2 linked regions of the Caenorhabditis elegans genome follow. The protein of the gene in region 1 interacts with the protein of each later gene in a pairwise test. Each region holds a gene or a part of one and is shown in the gene's direction. Other genes may lie near its edges. The genes, in order: str-131 and metl-13.

Region 1 (4,125 bases):
AAATTTCTACATGTATCATGTTCAAAAGAGACAACATTTTAACCTCTCAGCCGTGATCACCCATTAATCTTTTTTTTTTGGTCAGGAAGAATTTTATTCTATTGACGTCAAATACACTTTCTGATTATGAACTCAACTAATAAAAACATCTATTTGAAAAGATTTCATTGTGTTCAGAAAGCTTAGGTAAGCCAAATAACTGAAAGCAAGCTAAGGAATTAAATAACTTCCTATTATTCAAATAATTTCAAACCTTGAGAAGTACACTGACCTAAGGAATTCAGGAACTGATAGTGAGTTCATATAGTTTGAACTATTCGTTGTCATTCATAGCAGTTCTATTAAATTCAAAAAGCTGTTATAGTTTTTAAAAGCAATAACATTTTCAAATTTCTGGGAGACCCAAAACGTTTACCCCCTTCCCCTTAATAGTCCAAATGAATGAACATAAGGTTTACGTCACCCTCTCATTGTTTTTAAGCAGAAATCACTGAGATCATGAGATGTTGATCAAACGCATTTTGAGAACTACAACTAAAGTTCAGTAAAATAGAAATTTACAGACGTTTGTCTCAGTTGTTTTATTGTAGTTTCCGATCGGAATTCTCAAAGTGTTACTGTTTTTAAGAATGGGAGCAAAATGGTTATTCAGTATTTCAGCATTATCATGTTGTGTACTCGCCAATTGAACCAATTATCACTATAACTCGCATTAAACCTTTCCAAAACGCGTAGTGATAATTTGAAATACTGTCCCGAAGTATTTGAAAACGAACACAGTCTTTATTTTGACAAGTATAGCTGTTGTAAAAAATAATTTCGAATAGTACAAAATGATGGTATTGTAAAAACTGAATGAAATAAATTAGTGATATCAATTGTAGTTATGGAATTAGCACGACAAGCGTTCTCTGTAATAATGTGTATTTGTAGTGTGATGATGATATTAATCTGAAAGAAAAATAATAATTTAGAGATCGGATGTTCATCAAAGTTTGAATTTCCACAGATTGAAAATTCTTTGTGTTGCTTCAACTGGTAAAATTTGTAAAGCAAGTTTCCTAATAAATTCCTTTCTGGAATTTGTCTGATAACTTCCTTAGAAATACGACACATCTGAAATTTTTGAATGCACTTCATCAGTTTCCCAATGTTTCCCAATTATCGAGAATCACCTGCAACATCACTCCCAATCACGGAATAATAAGAATTGTACTCGAAATACTTTAGTTGGCTTGTTTTGAAAATATTAATAAATAGGATTATAATTTGTCACTTTCAGAAACATCCATTAAAAAACAACAAATCAGAAACGGTATGATGATTACGGATTTCGTGTTTAAAAAATGTGATTTTAAAATATTTTAGACATCTATGAATTTGTGGTTTTTCAGTTTGATATTATTTGAAACAGCCCAAAAATCAAAAATCATTCAAGAAATTTGGCTGCAATTTCCATCGGGTACATCAATGGCCAGGTGTCCAAGTTATTCTAATCTCTAGTTTCTACAAAAAGAATCATTCAGAATTAATAATTCGAATTTCTGCAAAAAAGTGTAAAGTCATCAAAACAATGTTACTCTGTTTTCTACCTTTTTTGTTTTTTTTTTCCGAGCCGACACACCATTCTTTTACTTCATTTAATCTGTTCTGTGCATCAGTATGTGATTTGAGACAGACACTCCTCCCATTTTCTTCACTTCCTTTGAAAGAATGAATCACAGACAACCGGAGCAGCTGATTTCAATATTAATACAATTCAATTCAAGACTACACTTCCTCCATTCTTCCAGTAACTTAAAAACGCCTCTTTCTGATTGGAGTATAAATTAACTTCCAAAAATTAGTATTAGGGTGTTTTTGTACGACTCTATGATGCTTTATCGAGTAATCCATTACATTCAGTTTGCTGCTTTTGCTGTTTCCCAATGTACCAATGGACTTTTGTTGTACCTAATATGGACAAAGGCTCGGAAAGTTTTAGGTGCCTATAGCTACCTGATGCTTGCCTTTTCTCTTTATGCTATACTATACAATTATGTCGATATTATAACTCTGCCATTGGTGGTGATCGAAAAACAGATGTACGTGGTAGTCAATCATGGACCTATTCGGAATGTTCCAATCTTTGGTTTCCTATTCACATGTGAGTTCTAAGTTTGTTAGTTTTGATTTAAGTTAGGAATTTACATTATCCTATTTTTTTGGCGGAGAATCTTAAAATTTAAATGGAAATTCTATATAGAATGTGACTAGCAATTGTTGAACTATCATTTTAAAATTTTTTTTGAGTTCAATTTTAATATTTTAGGCCTGTTCGGATCATCCTTTGGTTTGTGTATTTCTCTACTTTCTACACAATTCTTTTATAGATATCTTGCAGTTTGTAGGTTCGTTCTCTAGATTCAACGAAAAAACTTATTACAAAAAATTTCAGACCAAAGTCTTTGCACTATTTAGAAGGCCGCCGATTGGCTTTGATATTTATCCCTGCGATTTTTGTCTCCGTCATTTGGTTTTTCTTTTGCTTCTTTGGATTGGATATAACTGTCGAAAAACAAGAAATGTTGAAAGAACCATTCATGGAATTTTACAACGAGGATTCAAATACGATGTCATTTGTTAGTGGTCTTTTTTGGAGTCTTGATGAAAATGGAACGAAGCATTGGAATATGAAAGATTGTATTGGATCACTCGGTTTAGCTGCGTTGATGGTAAATATTATTCTGTAAATAAATTGTAGCTTTAATTTTATTTTCAGATTGTTTGCTGTCTTACCATTGTTTTTTGTGGCGTAAAAACATACAAAAAGATGAACGATTCTGGAAATTCACTTAGCAACCGGACAAAAGAGCTCAATAGACAATTATTTGTCACATTGAGTTTGCAGGTAAAAAATAACAAAAAATAATTTCTAATGATCATTTATTTTCAGACTCTCCTCCCATTCATGCTGATGTATGGACCTGTTGGACTTCTGTTCATCTTCCCGCTGTTTCAAATTAAATTTGATATTTTGTCAAGCTCAGCAGCCGCCTCAACTGCTATCTACCCTGCCGTCGAACCATTAATCGCAATTTTTTGCATCAAAACTTTTAGAAAAGCACTGTGTTTTAATCAATGTATCAGGCAAACTGCGAGAATAACCAGCACTGCTGCCTCAACCGCAGCAAAAAGCAATTGAACATTTTAAAGAAATGTATTTTTAGATGTTTTGGTTGTTTTTTCCATAAAGAACATTTGAAAAACAAATCTGTATATTTGAACCAGTCAAAACTTTTGCAATTTTTTAATTGTTAAAACGTTAATTGACAAAAACGTTACTTGAAAATAAAAAAATAGAGAGTTTAAAAATAGTTAGACTTTGTGTTTTGTCTTATAATAAAGGTTCGAGAAAACAAACTTGTTTTTAAAAATTTTTTCAATGAAAACTTCTCTGATCATCAACGCACTTTACGTGTGGTTTATCGTTTTTGAGTGCGAAGATAAACATTTTACAGAAAGTTCCATTTAGTCTTTGTTCTATTGATGCTATCAAAGTTTAGAGAGAAAATCTCTTCTCATCACACCTTCTTCATGTGAAGAAAAACAACGTCATTTAACACCCTGCGGTTTTTGATAGTATGAAGAGATAAGCAAGAGAAAATCATTCATTGTTCCTAACTTACTTGGAGAAAAATATCGATAAATGAAAATAAAGCACTTTAATATATACATGAGACCATTTGCAATCACCACTTGACCAATCGAACCAATTTGTTTTTCGGATAGTTTCTAATTCCGAATTTGCGGAGTTCGTTGAAGATCCAGATCCAGATTCCGACAATGACTGGGACAAGCCAGCACTAAAAAATTCAAATTAATATAATATTGAGTTTACAATTCACAGAAATTAAAGTTTTGAAATCCAGAGCTTTACTTACCTCCCATGGTGGTGGTTGGGATCCGAAGACATATTGTACTCCTGGAACAAATGTGAAAAGACAGATGAGGAGAAGATCAATGATGACTGCAAGAATAGCAACAATGTTAGCCATTCCGTGAACAAAGATTGAAACACGACGAGTCAAACACATCCAAAGATGCCATGCTTGTCCAACAACTACAGCAATATGGAATGCTGCT
Region 2 (5,825 bases), on another chromosome or scaffold:
GATGTGAATATTATCCTAACAGCTGATCATGGACATGCAGAAATTAAAGGTAATAATTTAAAATAGTTGAAATTAAAATCTTCATAATTCCTAAAACTAAATTCAGATCACAAACATGTCATGTGCGTGAAAGATTATGTATCTGGCGCTGGATTCGAAATGGGTGATCATATGATTTATCCACACTCGGATGAAATTGGAAAACAAATTTATGCAAATTTAACATCAGCAGTGAAAGAGCATGGATATGATGTGAATATTCATTGGAGAGAGGAAGTTCCAGAAAGATGGCATTATCGAAACAGTTCGCGAATTGGAAAAATCGTTTTCGAGCCGCAAATCGGTTCTTCGATTTCGTTTTCGTGTACGAAGGATCTTATGGAAAAGTATGTGGTTTACAACCGGGCTGTGCGGCAAATTTTTCTGGCAAACGTAAACAATAGTAATGCAGAAACAGGTGCATTCTATCTGAAAATAATATTTAGCTTTGTTGAATAATTGGAAAAAAAACCTTAAATATTGCCCGAATGTTGTCATTTGCAGAATAACTTTTAACGGCACTATTTGAGACCTTTGTCAAGTTTTTCAACAAAAACAAATATCATTTTTAGATGGAATGGGACATTTTTTCTTGAATTATCATATTAAAAAAAGGCAGTTTGATCCGTTTACCGGAAAAAATATTACAACGATTAGTTTATTGAAATCAACTTTCAGGCAATATGGAGAAAACGGAACATTAAAATTCAATTCATCAACTCACGGACAAGATCCTGATCGTCCAGAGATGAGAGCTTTCCTTATTATGAGAGGCCCAGCGTTTTCTGAAAATTATACGGTATAAGCTAGGCATTTTGAGAACTGTATGATAAATATTCTTTCAGATTGCCGATATTCCTTCAAATGTGGATTTGTACAATATAATGTGTCATGTGCTTGGTATCACACCAACTGAAAATAATGGAACCATGGAAATTGTGAAACGAGCTTTAAAAGAGAACAGATATTTACCAATGACACATGGTTTCGTATTTAATCAGATTACGGTAGGTTATTCCACAGAGTATTTGACTCAATTCTAAAGCTTATCAAAAGCACATAATTTTTCTTCAGGATTCATGGAGTTTTTCGCTTATTTTAATTCCTTCAATGTGTATTGTTATAATATTCTTCGCTTATGGATGTAAGAATACCGTACTCAAATCTGATCCCAATTGGGGAAGATCCGATACAGTTCAAGGATATCGGCCATTGAGTAACCGGACGAACGAAGGATTCGAATTAAATGATGATGAGGATGAGGATGAAGGAGATGGATTAAGGAATTCGATAGATTTAGAAAGAGGTGGAAGAAGGAGTCAAGCAGGAGGTGGTGCACTTGGAAGTGTGAGTTTTATATTGAAATAATCGGAAAATCAAATATCGCTCGAAATTATTTTAAAGAAAAAATAAATAAAAAATTACCCGAAATGTTCTCAAAAATGTGTAGATTTTCAGCTGAACAATGGAACGGTAGCAATGTCTGGACTACTGGATGAAATGAGCGATGATGATATTTGATCTTTTTAATATAACTTTTTGCATTCAAATTGTAAATATTTCTTGTGACCTCTTTATATATTTCCCCCATTGTGCCTTCGATTTCTCTTTAATTTCTGCAGAATATTCAAATCACAAAGCAAAATATTTATCTCTTTATTTGTCCTAGTCATCCTTTCATCTCTTTTTGATTTTTTTCCCCGGTTGTGGATTTTCAGGATTTTCAAAATCATCCAAAGACAGTTTATCAATTTTCAATGTGATATATTTTCAAAAAAGATTACTTAACTTTAATAATGAATGTTTCTCATATTTTTTACTTCTTAATTATAATTTTATTTTCTTTGGTTTTCATTTAGCCTCATGTTTTATTTCGAGTATTTAAAATGATTATTTTTCTAGTTTCTATAGTTTCAGGCCATGTCCGCTCCAAATGAGCCACAATCTTTCACGGATCCAGCGTACTGGAAGAACTTCTTTGCAAAACGAAAATCTCCATTCGAATGGTAATTAAATAATTATATTTCTTTGTTAAAATATGATGTCTTTCAAACAAAATTAAAAGAAAATTATCACATCACTATCAAGTGTTTTTCAGATTTGTCAAAGAAAAATTATCAATGTTTCGAAAAATAACTTAAAATATTGACCATTTTTCTTCTTTTTAGATAGAAATTTTTCCTCATCAACATACACAAAAATTGAATGCTTTCGATTCTCATGTAAAAATTTGAATTCTTTCAGGTACGGTGACTATAATTCTTTATCAAATGTAATTGATAAATATTTGAAACCGAAAGACACGTTCCTTCAACTTGGATGTGGTAATTCGGAATTAGCGACCCAACTCTACGATAATGGATTTCATTGCATTCACAGTATTGATGTAGAACCATCTGTTATTGCCACACAGATTCGTAAAAATAAAGAACGACTCGGAATGACTTTTGAGACTGGAGATGCTGCTAATGTGAGTTTGGAGAATGTCCCGTTGTGCACAATGAACAATTAAAAGAAAAGAAATTCGAAAATAATATGTTATAGCTATCCATGGCCGATGAAGCACATACCATTGTAATTGATAAAGGAACTCTCGACGCTCTTCTTCCACCATCAGCTTCAGAATCCGATGAAGCATTGGTTACAAAGATGTTCGAGGAAGTTCATCGTGTATTGGCTTCTGGTGGAAGATATATCATTGTCACATTGGCTCAACCACATATCACCGAGTTCTGGATTAATCACTTCTATCCATTGTAAAATATTCATTTTTCTCAAAAATCTGTAAAACGTTATTCCAGAAAGCAATATATCCTACGTGTTCAAAAAGTTGAGAACAAGGCTTCTGGATTCCCAATGCCAGTTTTCTGCTTTATTGCCACGAAAATGCGAGCACCAATGCCAAATCCATTGGTAGGTAGATAAATTGCAAATTATTTTATTTAAATAAAACCTATATTTTTAGCCTCTAGAAGTTCTTCGCTCCAGCTCCATCCGTACTGATCGTATCGATAGCACTGACGAATTGAAGGATTCTATTCGTGGAGAACAGGAGCTCTCACAATTCATCTACCTGTGCTCGAAGTAATTCATTTTAGTTTTTCCCTTGAAATTAATGAAATTAATTTAGAAAGCTGGACTCTGAAGTTTCAATCGACTTTCATGGAGCAGATCCATCATTAGGACCACGTTATCGTATCTGTGTTGTTGATAATCCAGAAGCCAAGAAGATTGACACATTCGCCGCATTTGTGGTTCCAATTGGACGGTTTGTATAGAAAACATTTTTAAATTCGAATTCTTATATTAATTTCAGTGATTCTGAATGGCTATTCGCCTCACCAAAGGGACGAAAAGCTCTTCGTGTTCAATGTGGCCGCGAACGTCTCGCAATCGTTTTCCTCAACAGAAATCAAAAATATGAAAAAGGAATGGACGGTGTGAAGAGTGATATTGGACATTTTGTTGGAATGCTGGATGTTAGACAAGATAATACTGGAAATGTATGTAGAATTGAACACGAAACATATGAAAACCCGATTTTCAGTACGAAATTCTATCCATCGGAGGAGTCGATGTTAAGCGAACCGTTTCAACGGGACGTTCGGATATCAATGGTGGTTGGAGTGTTGAAGAAGTTACTGTTGAAGGAAATCAAACTAGAAGACTAGTTTTTCTGAATACGATGAATCTGGTACAATCTGAAGCTTATCTGAAAAGTTAGTAGTTGAAAATTTCATTTTTCAACCCCCTTTAAAGAGTAAAATGGATTTATTACAACTGAAAAATCAATGAAAACTGAGCAGCAACGAGATTTGAAAATTGCAGTATTGTTTAAAGGCGCACATCCTTCTGTATTATTTTCGGTGGAAAAAGAATAACATTTCCCATCTTGTTAATACACGAGAGGTAGTTTATCAGAATTAAAAAAGAACGGTTTAATGATGCTCACCTCAAAATTTAAAATTAACATTACAGCCGGAAAGAAGAAGCAAACGGTCATAGATCTCGATCAATTGGCATGCGATTTCCATAGAATGATGATCGGATCCCTAGCCATCAGTCCGCAACAACCATTAGCCAAGAATGATGCTCAGTGTAAGATGGCTGTTCTTGGATTAGGTGGTGGACTTTTGACTGCATATCTTGTCAGACATTTCAAAAAGGTATCAATCAAGTCTAGAAACTTAACAGTGCTAAATTTTCGTTTCAGGCTCATGTAACCGCTGTGGAACTTGATCCAGAAGTACTCAAAATCGCAAATTCTCACTTCTCGTTCCCCCATTCGGACGCTAGAATTGACGTTGTCATCCAAGATGCTCTTATTCATCTCCAGGAGACTGCAAAGAAACCTGAAGGTATTTAAAATATCATGTTCAAATTTTATTTTACAAATCAATTCTTATTTCCAGAAGAGAAATACGATGTGATTTTTGTGGATGTTTCTGGAAGTCAGAACGCTGCTCTTCAATGCCCACCATCCGCCTTCCTTACCCCAGAAGCTCTAGGAAATATGAAAAACTCGGTGAAAGAACAAGGAATGATTAGTTTGAATTTGGTTACACGCGATTCGGAATTCGGAAAGTCGATTAAAAAGAATATCGCAGAGTATTTCCCAACTCTCTACACAGTTCTGTCCTTCGAAGATGTTAATGAGGTAAACTAAATTAATTATTGAAATTCTACTAGCAAATATATTTCTTTCAGATTATCATCGGTCTCAAAACACCCAAGAACACAATAAAACCAGTGGTTCCTCAGAAATTAATCAACACAGTTCGCAAAGATATTGGAAGCTATGATGAGGTTGTCGGTGCTATCTCAAACATTCGTATGGTTGATTATTAATTGCACAATTTCGTTTGTTATCTTGTTTATTTTCAGTAATTTTTTATTATATGTATTCGATTGTTCCCAGTTATTCAAATTTTCCCCCGTTTGTTGTTTCGTTTGTTCACCTGATGAATTTTGTTTTACACTTTGCAAACATGTCTAATGTTCTCACGGTGCAGTGAAAAACAACTTTGCAGGAAAAACAACTATTAACAGCATATTCGATATCTCGACGCGATCCTACTGTACTTCCGATGTAGACTATTTGGAATTCCACTAGGAAGTTGTGCAAATTATCTGTATTTGATTATGCGGCCAAAACTATTCTATAATAACTTTGGAACTAAAAAATATTTTCCGTCACAAAATATGAAACTTTTAATTTTTGATCGTCAGTTTTTCTACAAAATAGTATTCATTTTGGTAGTGATCTGTACTGCAGAAATAGATTAATCTCTAAAAAAGTTCAGACAACGAGTAATTTCTATCAAACTGTGTTTTTTAATCTTTTAATTTTTATTTCCGCCTCTCACCGTGCGGTTATAAAATTCATAAGTTCACTTGTGCGGCCATCATGGTTCAAGTTAGTACTGTACTTTCTCTATTTCTATTGCTAATATGTCTAGTTGATTCCAGTTCTGAACCAAAACGTACAATGATAAGAAAGGTAACTAGGGAAATTAAAGCCTTCCAATTAGGCCCAAAAATGCCGGCCTACTTCGTACCTACCTCAATACAATGAACCGTTTTTTTCTAAACTTTCACTAGTTGAACTTTAATTTAATTAAAACAAACTACTTTATTTACATCGCCTTCTAATTAGATGCCTGCTTTTATATACAGCCAGACAATAAGAACCTACGATTGAAGTTTCACAGAATTTAAACTGCTCGAAGCTATTTTCTTTTCAGCCAGGAGCTCGTCTTGCAATAGAATACTACAAACCAAAAAGT

Evidence for each region.
Region 2: the proteins of str-131 (region 1) and metl-13 interact in a two-hybrid assay, tested with the Caenorhabditis elegans proteins (one large-scale study listed by BioGRID).

Annotation. Positions count from the first base shown.
Region 1 is NC_003283.11:8,079,426-8,083,550, reverse strand, and holds str-131 (Serpentine receptor class r-10), read left to right. Parts: upstream 1-1,871; 5' UTR 1,872-1,872; coding exon 1,873-2,146; intron 2,147-2,311; coding exon 2,312-2,390; intron 2,391-2,437; coding exon 2,438-2,714; intron 2,715-2,761; coding exon 2,762-2,890; intron 2,891-2,935; coding exon 2,936-3,184; 3' UTR 3,185-3,402; downstream 3,403-4,125. Other genes in the region: catp-3 (Cation-transporting P-type ATPase N-terminal domain-containing protein), read right to left, coding at 3,732-3,845, 3,924-4,125.
Region 2 is NC_003282.8:6,633,133-6,638,957, forward strand, and holds metl-13 (Methyltransferase domain-containing protein), read left to right. Parts: upstream 1-1,956; 5' UTR 1,957-1,959; coding exon 1,960-2,045; intron 2,046-2,283; coding exon 2,284-2,509; intron 2,510-2,583; coding exon 2,584-2,795; intron 2,796-2,840; coding exon 2,841-2,952; intron 2,953-3,004; coding exon 3,005-3,123; intron 3,124-3,169; coding exon 3,170-3,307; intron 3,308-3,355; coding exon 3,356-3,542; intron 3,543-3,586; coding exon 3,587-3,758; intron 3,759-4,017; coding exon 4,018-4,205; intron 4,206-4,252; coding exon 4,253-4,397; intron 4,398-4,451; coding exon 4,452-4,696; intron 4,697-4,746; coding exon 4,747-4,887; 3' UTR 4,888-5,023; downstream 5,024-5,825. Other genes in the region: C01B10.9 (Bis(5'-adenosyl)-triphosphatase), read left to right, coding at 1-49, 107-386, 718-838, 885-1,046, 1,114-1,386, 1,498-1,560; C01B10.7 (TransThyretin-Related family domain), read left to right, coding at 5,447-5,539, 5,784-5,825.